2 linked regions of the Danio rerio genome follow. The protein of the gene in region 2 interacts with the protein of the main gene of each other region in a biochemical or structural test. Links are inferred from orthologs where the notes say so. Each region holds a gene or a part of one and is shown on either strand. Other genes may lie near its edges.

Region 1 (4,468 bases), on a different chromosome or scaffold from region 2:
AATTTTCTTGAAAATCAGCGAACTTCCGTCAATATGAAATCGTAAGCCTTAGTACACGATGTAAATACAGAAGAGACAAGCATTGAATAAGAAAATTACTGAAACTCTTTGCTTATTTTTCAATAGTATCTGGATGCAGCCTTTATGATGCAAGCTAAGATTGCATCAAACAGCGATGCAATGTCAGACACAATGCACTCAAATGGAGCGCATTGGCGTCACTGTGACGGGTAGGGTTAGAGGTGGGGTTAGGTGAGCCCATTAAAAAGCATTGGATGCAGTCTCAGATTGCACTGCACCAGGTCTGCATCCAGATCCCTCTCTCATTTTTGAGCATTTTTAATGCTAAGGGTTTGATTCAATGATCTATGCTAAGCTAAGCTAAGCTAGAAGTGTTCCAGCCAGACGCGGAGATTGGCTGAATGAATTCAAAAATAGTAAAACTCAACAGCCTAACTCTAGGAGACTTGTCAAATTAGCCTATTTTCAAAATAAAAGTTCTTTTAATTTTATATTAATTCTGTAATTTGATGTTAAAAGGGAATGCCCAAATATAAACTTATAGAAAGTAGATGTAGAAAGTAAATATCTGCGCAAAATAGCTTGTTATTTGCGAACGTGTGGCATTTTACACTGTCACTTTTATAAAGAGCACAGCAGCTTTGAAACGGCTCATTTGGTCGCCTCTTCCAAACCATCAGGAAAATGTGACAATTCAGCTTTTCTTCACCTGATAGTGAGCACTGTTACAGAAGGTGTTACCTGAGCTCCTCCAGCAGAGATTAGATGGGATGACTGCACATTCAGCTAAAATGCTGCTGACATTCATTTCTATATAAACAGGACTGTGTGGTATGTATTGCATGCCAAACACATTATTTAACTCATGTCTATATGGGTATGTTTAATGTAAGAATGGATTTGTTGATGGGAGGACCGAATATTTATAAAATATATAATAAAATAATAATAAATAGGATTTATAGTAAATATACATTTTAAAAAGTAAACAGTGCTTAATTTGATTTCACATTGACCTTGAACTATAAATGCTGTGGGCTAAAGTCATTGCTTTACAGCTTTATTTTAAGTGCTGAGATGAATATGCTGGTGTGATGGTACCTTTATGGTTTCAGGTGGCACTCCCGGATCAGGTGCTTTCTCCAAATATGTAGTTAGATCCTGGTCCACATGTTCGAAGACCAAAGTTAGTTTGGTTTCCCGGTCAGTCCTGGAAACTGTGCATACGTCAAACAACCTGGATGAGGGAAAGACAATCAAGAGCACTTTCATTAAAAGCTGTGTGAGTCACGTCTGTTAAGTATTTAACATGAGTTTTGACAAGTTCATGTGTGATTTAAGGGCCCAAAAGACTTCTGAAAAAACTAAAGATCACTTTTTAAACAAAGTTAGGTTGGAGTTTGAACTAGCTTTATGGCCCGTTTCCACTGAGTGATACGGTACGGTTCGATACACTTTTATGGCCGCTTCCACTGTCAAAGGTGTACCTAACCGTACCACTTTTTTGGCACCCTTTCAAAAGGGTACCAAACACAGAGAAAGGGTACCAAAAGGTGAAGCTAATATGAACTCAGAATGATGGAATTACTCTCTAACAGGAGGCTTTATGTGCTGCTAAAGATTACGGACACAGATGAGAGGTTTTCATTGACCGTAGGCTATATTTTGTGTTGTTTTTAACCTAATTAAGGACTAAATGTCTGCTGTATGTACTTCTTCTGTAGTTGGTAACATATCAGAGATTGTAAGGGTCTGTATGTGTTCATATATGTTGCATTTATTTATTTATTTTATAAAATTGCAGACGTTACAGTAGGCTATTTCGCACTGTCATTGATCTGCAGTAATAATCAAATCCTGTTCATAGAAAAATTAGTAATAAACATTTATACACAAGTATTTGTGTGTATAAAGCATCTGTTTTGTGAGAAGCGCTTCTCATATGATATGTGAATAACCCGTATGGCTTTACTGTAGACATTTTCTCAAGCGAAAATTATGTCAACTGAAACTCTCAGTCATACCCCACACCCACCCTTGGTAATGGAAACGCAAGCCTGATAAAGGTGACCTGTACCGACCCGAACCGTACCAGTCCGTGGAAACAAGCCATTACAGAGCAATGCTCTTACAAGTAAACACCTTTAGACTTCTACTGGTAAAAGCTGATTATTTAAGGTTTACTGTTACTATTTTTATGCTTAATTCCACATCGTAGAAAGAGATTAGTTGACTTTACTTTAAAAAGTGTATAAACCAGTTAACTTAAATAAGGTAAATATGCGCATTATTATAAAAACATACGATGTTACTAACTTTTAAGTAGAGTTGTCCCTCCTTATTCCTGGCAGATGCATTCTAAAAATATCTCGCAGTTGGAGAAATCGCCGAAGTAGTCAGCTTTATTATTTTTACAATTATTTTAGATGTTTTAAGGCTGTAAAACCCCTCACTACACACTTTATACACTTTTCTCAGACAGGCATTAGGATTTCCACACTTATCTCTCATTTAAACTCTCACTCTCAAAGTTCAAACTTTTGAAGAAAAATAAATCCAGTATTGTAAAATGAAACCAAATATCAAGTTGATCGTAATGGCGCCCTACAGCCGCGTAACTTCTACCTTCCCTTAGCGTTCCTCTGCCTTTGGGTGCCTTTGACATTGCAGAATGTTTTGTCAACATTGTGGGGAGAAAACTTGCAAACAAAGTACAACACTTCTGTGTCACACTGCTAGCGATCGAAGATTTATGCCAGTCAGGACGCAGAACACAATGTGATGTAGAAAAAAGCATATCAAAATGCACAAAAAAAATCCACAAAAGGTGAACCGCATTTTAGCGAGGGACCACTATAACTGATTTTTTTAAGCTGAAAAGCTGCTTGTATCGGAGTAGTCAATTCTATAAAGAATTACATATAACAAATGTGACAACATCAAATTCGATAATCAGATGCTTTCTTAACGGCTGTTTTCTCACTGCTGCCATTCATATTGTTTGTTTAATTTGTTATTGACAACACATATTTTACCTATTTATACAAATGTCACTTGCAGTATACTGCGGCATACGCATTTCAAACGCATTTTTACCCCTAAACAAAGAGCGAGTATAAATGAGTATATCAGGGGCTTAGTTTAGGCAGATTTTACAATATAATGTGCAATTAAAAGTGTTGTGTCAAAAACATTCCACGTCCACACAATCGTTCTCAATTGTTTCCTAAAAAGTTGTTCGTCCACTTTGAAATGACTGAAAATGTTTTCGTCCCTGCGCATGTGTTAAGACAAAACACGCTTTGAGCTTCATTAATTTCAGCTCTTTAAAATTGTTGCAGCAATTTTTTTATGCTTTTTTAAAACAGTGGTTCTCAAAGTGGGGGTTGGGACCCACAGAGGAATCACTGGAAATTGAAGGAGGGGGTGGGGGTGGGGGGGGGTCACCTGGTGAATATTAAACTATAAGAATGACCATATTGTATCTATAACCTACTGAAGAGAAAAAAAAGGTAGCTTTTAGTAACTAGTTCTATTGGATTGCGACCCCTGGGGTAATTAAATTACATTAAAGACACAGCAATAGCGTCAGATGCAGCAGATTGATTTTATAACAGGTTAAACTTTCTGGCCCATTTACAGAACTCACATACATTAAAAAAAAATAAGCGAAGAATAGACTTGGGTCTTTTGGTGTGTGTGTGTGCGCCATTGCATGCAAGGTTTCTGTATTTATAACCACTTCAGAGAATGGGGGTCGCGAGTCACTGGCATTGTCACTTTGGGGGTCGCGGGCTGAACAGTTTAGGAACCCCTGTTTTAAAGGACAGACTTTGCTGCAATTAGCATTAAGTTATAAAGTTGCAAATGCAAGAAAGAATATAGACTAGAGAGGGTGATAAAATAACAGCTGAGTAAATATTTTGACTGTGTCCGAAACTGATACTTCCATACTATATATTACGCTAAAAACAGTATGTGAGCCAGGCAGTATGTCTGAATTCATAGAATTCGAAAAACAGTATACGAGAAGTACCTAGACAACAAACTACTTCCGGCGAGAATCTGAAGTGTGCATCTGATGCATACTACGCTATCCCATGATGCACTACGACGTAGAGCGGAGAGCGGGTATGAAGACGGTTGCGTGTTGGGTTCGGCGCACATGGGGACTGTACCAAAAAGCTGAGGAAATCCGAGTTTTCTCGGAGACAGAATAATACGGGAGAGGGGTGGGAGATGGGTCTAAAATACGCAAGACTCCCAGGAAAAAAAACCTGCCGGGAGTGTAGGCAGGTGTGCCCCACAAGAGAACTCATGAATGGGAGTGAAGCAACGCAACTGATGCGGACAGGTCACATGATCACAACAAAAGTACATACTGCTCGCATTCATACTATATAGAACGTACTTTTCTAACAGTCAAGTAGTACATTCAAATTCAAAT
Region 2 (4,568 bases):
TCTCAGAAGCTCTGGAGCAGTCAGCAATCACCACAAAAGGAAACAGACTTCCTCTCTCTTTGCAGAGCCTCTCACTGGTTTACAATAACTGTGAGTATGGAATTAGGACAAGCAAGATGGCTCGTTCAATTGCAATAAAGAAGTCTGCCTGAAAGTAAAACACTGTGAGGGAAGGATCTTCAATGCATGACCATGATAAAGTGCTCAAAACTTTTGCAAAGTTACCGAAACAAAATAAAAGTGAGCTCAAAAGTACAAACATACCTGTCGCACAGAGGGCCACAAAGGTCTGGGCGTGTTTGCGCAGTATCTGCTTGGAGCTCTGATGTATAGGCAGTTTGGCAAGGAAGTGTTCAATGAAATCATGTGGTGTCACTGAGGCCAGATCCCACTTCAGTTTATTTAGCGCCAGCAGTTCCATTTGCTGCGAGGGAGATATAAAATGGTCCAAGTTTACATAAAGCCCCAGACGATTTTTCCATTTCAGATTTTACACTCTTTGAACGCTAGATGGAGATGTCGATTAATTGCACAATAACGCAAGGCCTACGTTCAATTAACGCACACATCAAAAGCACCAACAATTTGTAACATGTACTGTTATTTACAGATATCTGTGGGTGCCTTAACACTTTGATAAACTCATTTAGCTCGTTGTTTCATGCAATACCTTAACGTATAGGTCTTTGAGCAAAATGACCTTCAATTGCATTATTTTACTTTAATTCAGCACAAAAAAAAAAAAAAAAAGAAAACAATATCAAGCTGCTAAATTAAAGAGTATTAAACATTTACCAATAATTCGCCGGGACGGACAGAGTTGTCCGTGTATATGCACAACTTCTCTGCTGTAAGTGGCACAGTCTCTTTCATTTTTGAAGCCAGAAACATACAAGTTGCTCCTAAAAGCTGCAACCTGGTTTTTTTGGTGGGCTCCACAGATAAAAACCTGTCCAGGTAGTTCATAGCCAAAGGAAAAACTTCCTCTTCACATTTCTGCTCTTCACAGACCTTTAAAGAAAAGAAAGTGCATACGATAAATAAATATTAAGTCACAACAGCAGCTAATTCTTTTAATTAAACGTGTAGAAATATATAAATAAAAAAAAATAAAAAATAAAAATAAAAACTATTCATAGAAATTTATTAAATAAACGAAGTGCAAATATTTTTTAAGCTACAGTATGCTTTGATCTTATCGAGTTATCCCACGTGTTTAGCATCTGCTGATTCGTACACGTGCAGTGGAAAGGGTTAAATTAGAAAAAAAAGACACGTGGAAATGCTTAAAAATAGTATTTAATCAGTAATTTAAGTTTAATCCTAAGTGTTGCACAAAGTATAAATGTTACAATTTGCTTCTGATGCTAATGGTCGTTGCTTTCGAGGCAAAAAGGTGGCGTCTGAGCTCGGTTCAGGAAACAATTTTCTAGTTCGTCATCTTTTCAAAAAATATTTAAAAATATACGAAAATTGTTTTGCTTGACTTTAAACACATGTAAATGTACTGTAACTCATGCTTTATTAGATTATGCAAAAATATTTCGATTGCAATGACAAAAACTACGTGAAATGAACTGAAATCCAAAGCCCCATCATACAAAGGGAAGCATGCGACATTTAGGTGAAGCGGGTGTTTCATAAATTAATATAAATTATTCCTTAGCATTAAATCTACTGTTAAACATCTGTAAATCCACATTATTAGAGGGTTAACATAATCCGATAGGTTATAACACGATGTTGAATTCAGAAATGAAATAATACAATATTTTTAGACCGTCGTGCAGGAGGTATGACAAACTGAAACAAAACTTTTAAGACACAAATATTACGTTTTCTTGCAAAAATTTGATTTATGTTATACCTGTGATTTAAAAGACAACTTGTGAGCGCTTTTATGCAGGTGATGTCAATTATGTTTCCATTTTAGAATTTAGAGAAATAAAAAACTTAAGCAAACGACAACAAAGATGGCGTATAATAGGCTACTGGCACGAGTGAGAATGCATACGTGTACATTGGTATTAAAATAAAATAAAAATAAATAAATGTATCTATATTTTAAAATATTTATAAGAAACGAAACGCATGCATGAAAAAATAACAACCCTAAATAAAAAGGCTAAAGCGGAAAGCACGGAAAACGTCTCGTGTCGGATTAATATTTCGTAATAAAACATTTTTACGTAAAAAATAAGCAACAATAATCGGACAGCGTGTTTCTGTGTGATATTTCTGGGATGGATAAGCAATGCCGATGAACCCAAGTCACACTAAAGCATTTTTTTTCATTTAATAAATACTTCTTGGAGTCCAAAGAGCAAGAGTAGAATCATCGTGAGGCAACGTGTGTAGCAGCAAATGCAAAAAAAAAGAGATATATAAATATATTATCCAAAACAAACCTCGAGCATCCACGTCGCGACGATTTTCCTCATTTTAGGCACAATTTCTTTCTGAACACACTTGAAATAATTTGGTGATGGGAGATAGTTTTCCTCAGCTTTAAGCATTGTCTGTAAAACTCGGTCATTCAACAGGTTGCTGTCTTGGTAAGCTCTTCTTATGGTATCCACTTCGCAGCAAAACAACTGGTGCTCCATATCTTCAGTGTTTAGCAGTGAGAAAAGTAAGAAAGCTGGAGCTCGAGTCGGACACTGGTCCCGTGGATGCTTTTTGCTGCCTCTGCTGAACCCTCTAAAAGTCTCGCTGCAGCTCTCCGCTTGACAAAACTCCCCTATGACGTGACTGTTGTTAAGGGAAGATCAAAGCAGCAGCAGCGAGCCTGTGAGAGAGCGAGAGGCTGTCTGCTCAGGGCGGAGGATCAATCTAAAGAACTATCTGCTTCTCAGTTTTGGCTCCTTTCTTTAGCCCTATGGAAATAGGAGGTCCTACGCCGGGTGACGAGTGACCAAGGAGAAGCGGTGGTGGGGGTAGGCTGGGCCGGGGTGGGGGCGCAGGGGGCAGGCTGCTAGTGTCGTGGGTATCGGGGGTGGAAAAGACTGGGGTGAAGATGTGTATTGGGTTAGTATTGGTAGGGGGCAGTATAATAGCCTAAATCAAGGTGCCCACACTGTCGCATTGAAAAACTTTTGTCACTGTAATTGTACAAGCATATATCAAAAGTTTTATTTGTAAAATAAATTTGGTCACAGTCACTTGTCTGCTTTTAAAATCAGGCTTTTAAAATGTTTTTAAAAGATTTTGGATTACTTTATGAAGTTTCATATAGCTAAGTTTCTGCACAAACTTGAATGTGGTTTCAGTAGGCTATATATGAAACAAATGTGTGGTCTTGGGTGGAGGCTTGTTTTATTTTTTTGTTTCTTTTTGGGGGGTTAGACTTAAAGAAGGAAGCACAAATTAGCCTAAACCAATGGAGGAGCACGTCAGTTGCCAGGCAGAACTGCGGCACGAGCTTTTATCTAAAAAAAAACTCCTCGTGGAAATGTTAAATAAACAAAATAAATTGTTAAAATTAATCATGTGAAGCATTCTTCTTGTCGTATTTAATAATACATTTCCTTAAATCTCATTTAACTTTTTTTTTTCTCTTTGTACACCAAAACATTAAATATTTCAAATAATAAAATAATACAAACAATAAAGTAGTTATAATATTTAGACTCGGAAACAAACCGCGTTAAAAGAAAACATTAGCTCACCGGTAAAGTTTAAACACGACATCTGCAGCTTTAACAACACAAATTGTTTGATAGAGTTTGATCAAACAGGGGCGCTCTCACTTTAAAAGACCTCACTGCTGTCGCTTCAGGATGAATTGAAGCTTTACAAATTCCGCACATTCCACTTCAATACCGTAAAACAAGTAATTTGCCTGTGCCCAAAACTTCAGCTGCAGAAAGAAGCTACAATAAAGTAACAACTTTAAATGTTAATAAATGTATTATAAGCTTATTATGCTATAATAGCAGCTAAGTTACTGTATTAAGTTCTATTACTTTAAACCTTTTTGAGAACATGCATATTAAAGAAAAAATATAACTTTTATTTTTACAGAAAAGACAAAGACAAAAAACTTTAGAGTTGCAGAAATAAGCTAGAGTAAAGGAACAACTTTAAATGTTACATGGATTTAAGTGTTCTCACAAGTCATTTACATAAGCATATCAACAACACTCTGTGTATATATATATATATATATATATATATATATATATATTTATTTATTTATTATATATTTAGTAGCAAACAGGCTAGTACGTTCATTCTAAGATCAAAAGTTATTTTATTAGCATAGTATAATATTATCTTAGGCTATAATAGCAACTGTTATTAGGCTACTGTATTATTTACTATTACTTTAAACCTCTATAAGAACATGCATATAATGGAATTTTGTATTTTTTTTTTTTTTTTACAGAAAAGACAAAGACCAAAACGAGTTGCAGAGAGAAACTAGAATACAAGAAAAACTTTAAATGTTCCACTGATTTAAGTTTTTTTCCCCCACACGTCATTTTACATATAGACATATCAACAATGCTCTTTAAATATTAGGCAAATATATTAATTAATTTAATAGCAAACAGTAGTTTAGGCTG

Evidence for each region.
Region 1: the proteins of ccnd1 (region 2) and cdk6 form a complex in vitro, tested with the Homo sapiens proteins (3 studies listed by BioGRID and IntAct, with this or other methods). The link is inferred for Danio rerio from reciprocal best matches to the Homo sapiens genes CCND1 and CDK6.

Annotation. Positions count from the first base shown.
Region 1 is NC_133194.1:42,888,704-42,893,171, reverse strand, and holds part of cdk6 (cyclin-dependent kinase 6), read right to left. Parts: intron 1,259-4,468; coding exon 1,123-1,258; intron 1-1,122. UniProt on the Homo sapiens protein: Serine/threonine-protein kinase involved in the control of the cell cycle and differentiation; promotes G1/S transition. Phosphorylates pRB/RB1 and NPM1.
Region 2 is NC_133182.1:69,632,075-69,636,642, forward strand, and holds the start of ccnd1 (G1/S-specific cyclin-D1), read right to left. Parts: upstream 2,886-4,568; 5' UTR 2,607-2,885; coding exon 2,409-2,606; intron 1,012-2,408; coding exon 796-1,011; intron 425-795; coding exon 265-424; intron 1-264. UniProt on the Homo sapiens protein: Regulatory component of the cyclin D1-CDK4 (DC) complex that phosphorylates and inhibits members of the retinoblastoma (RB) protein family including RB1 and regulates the cell-cycle during G(1)/S transition.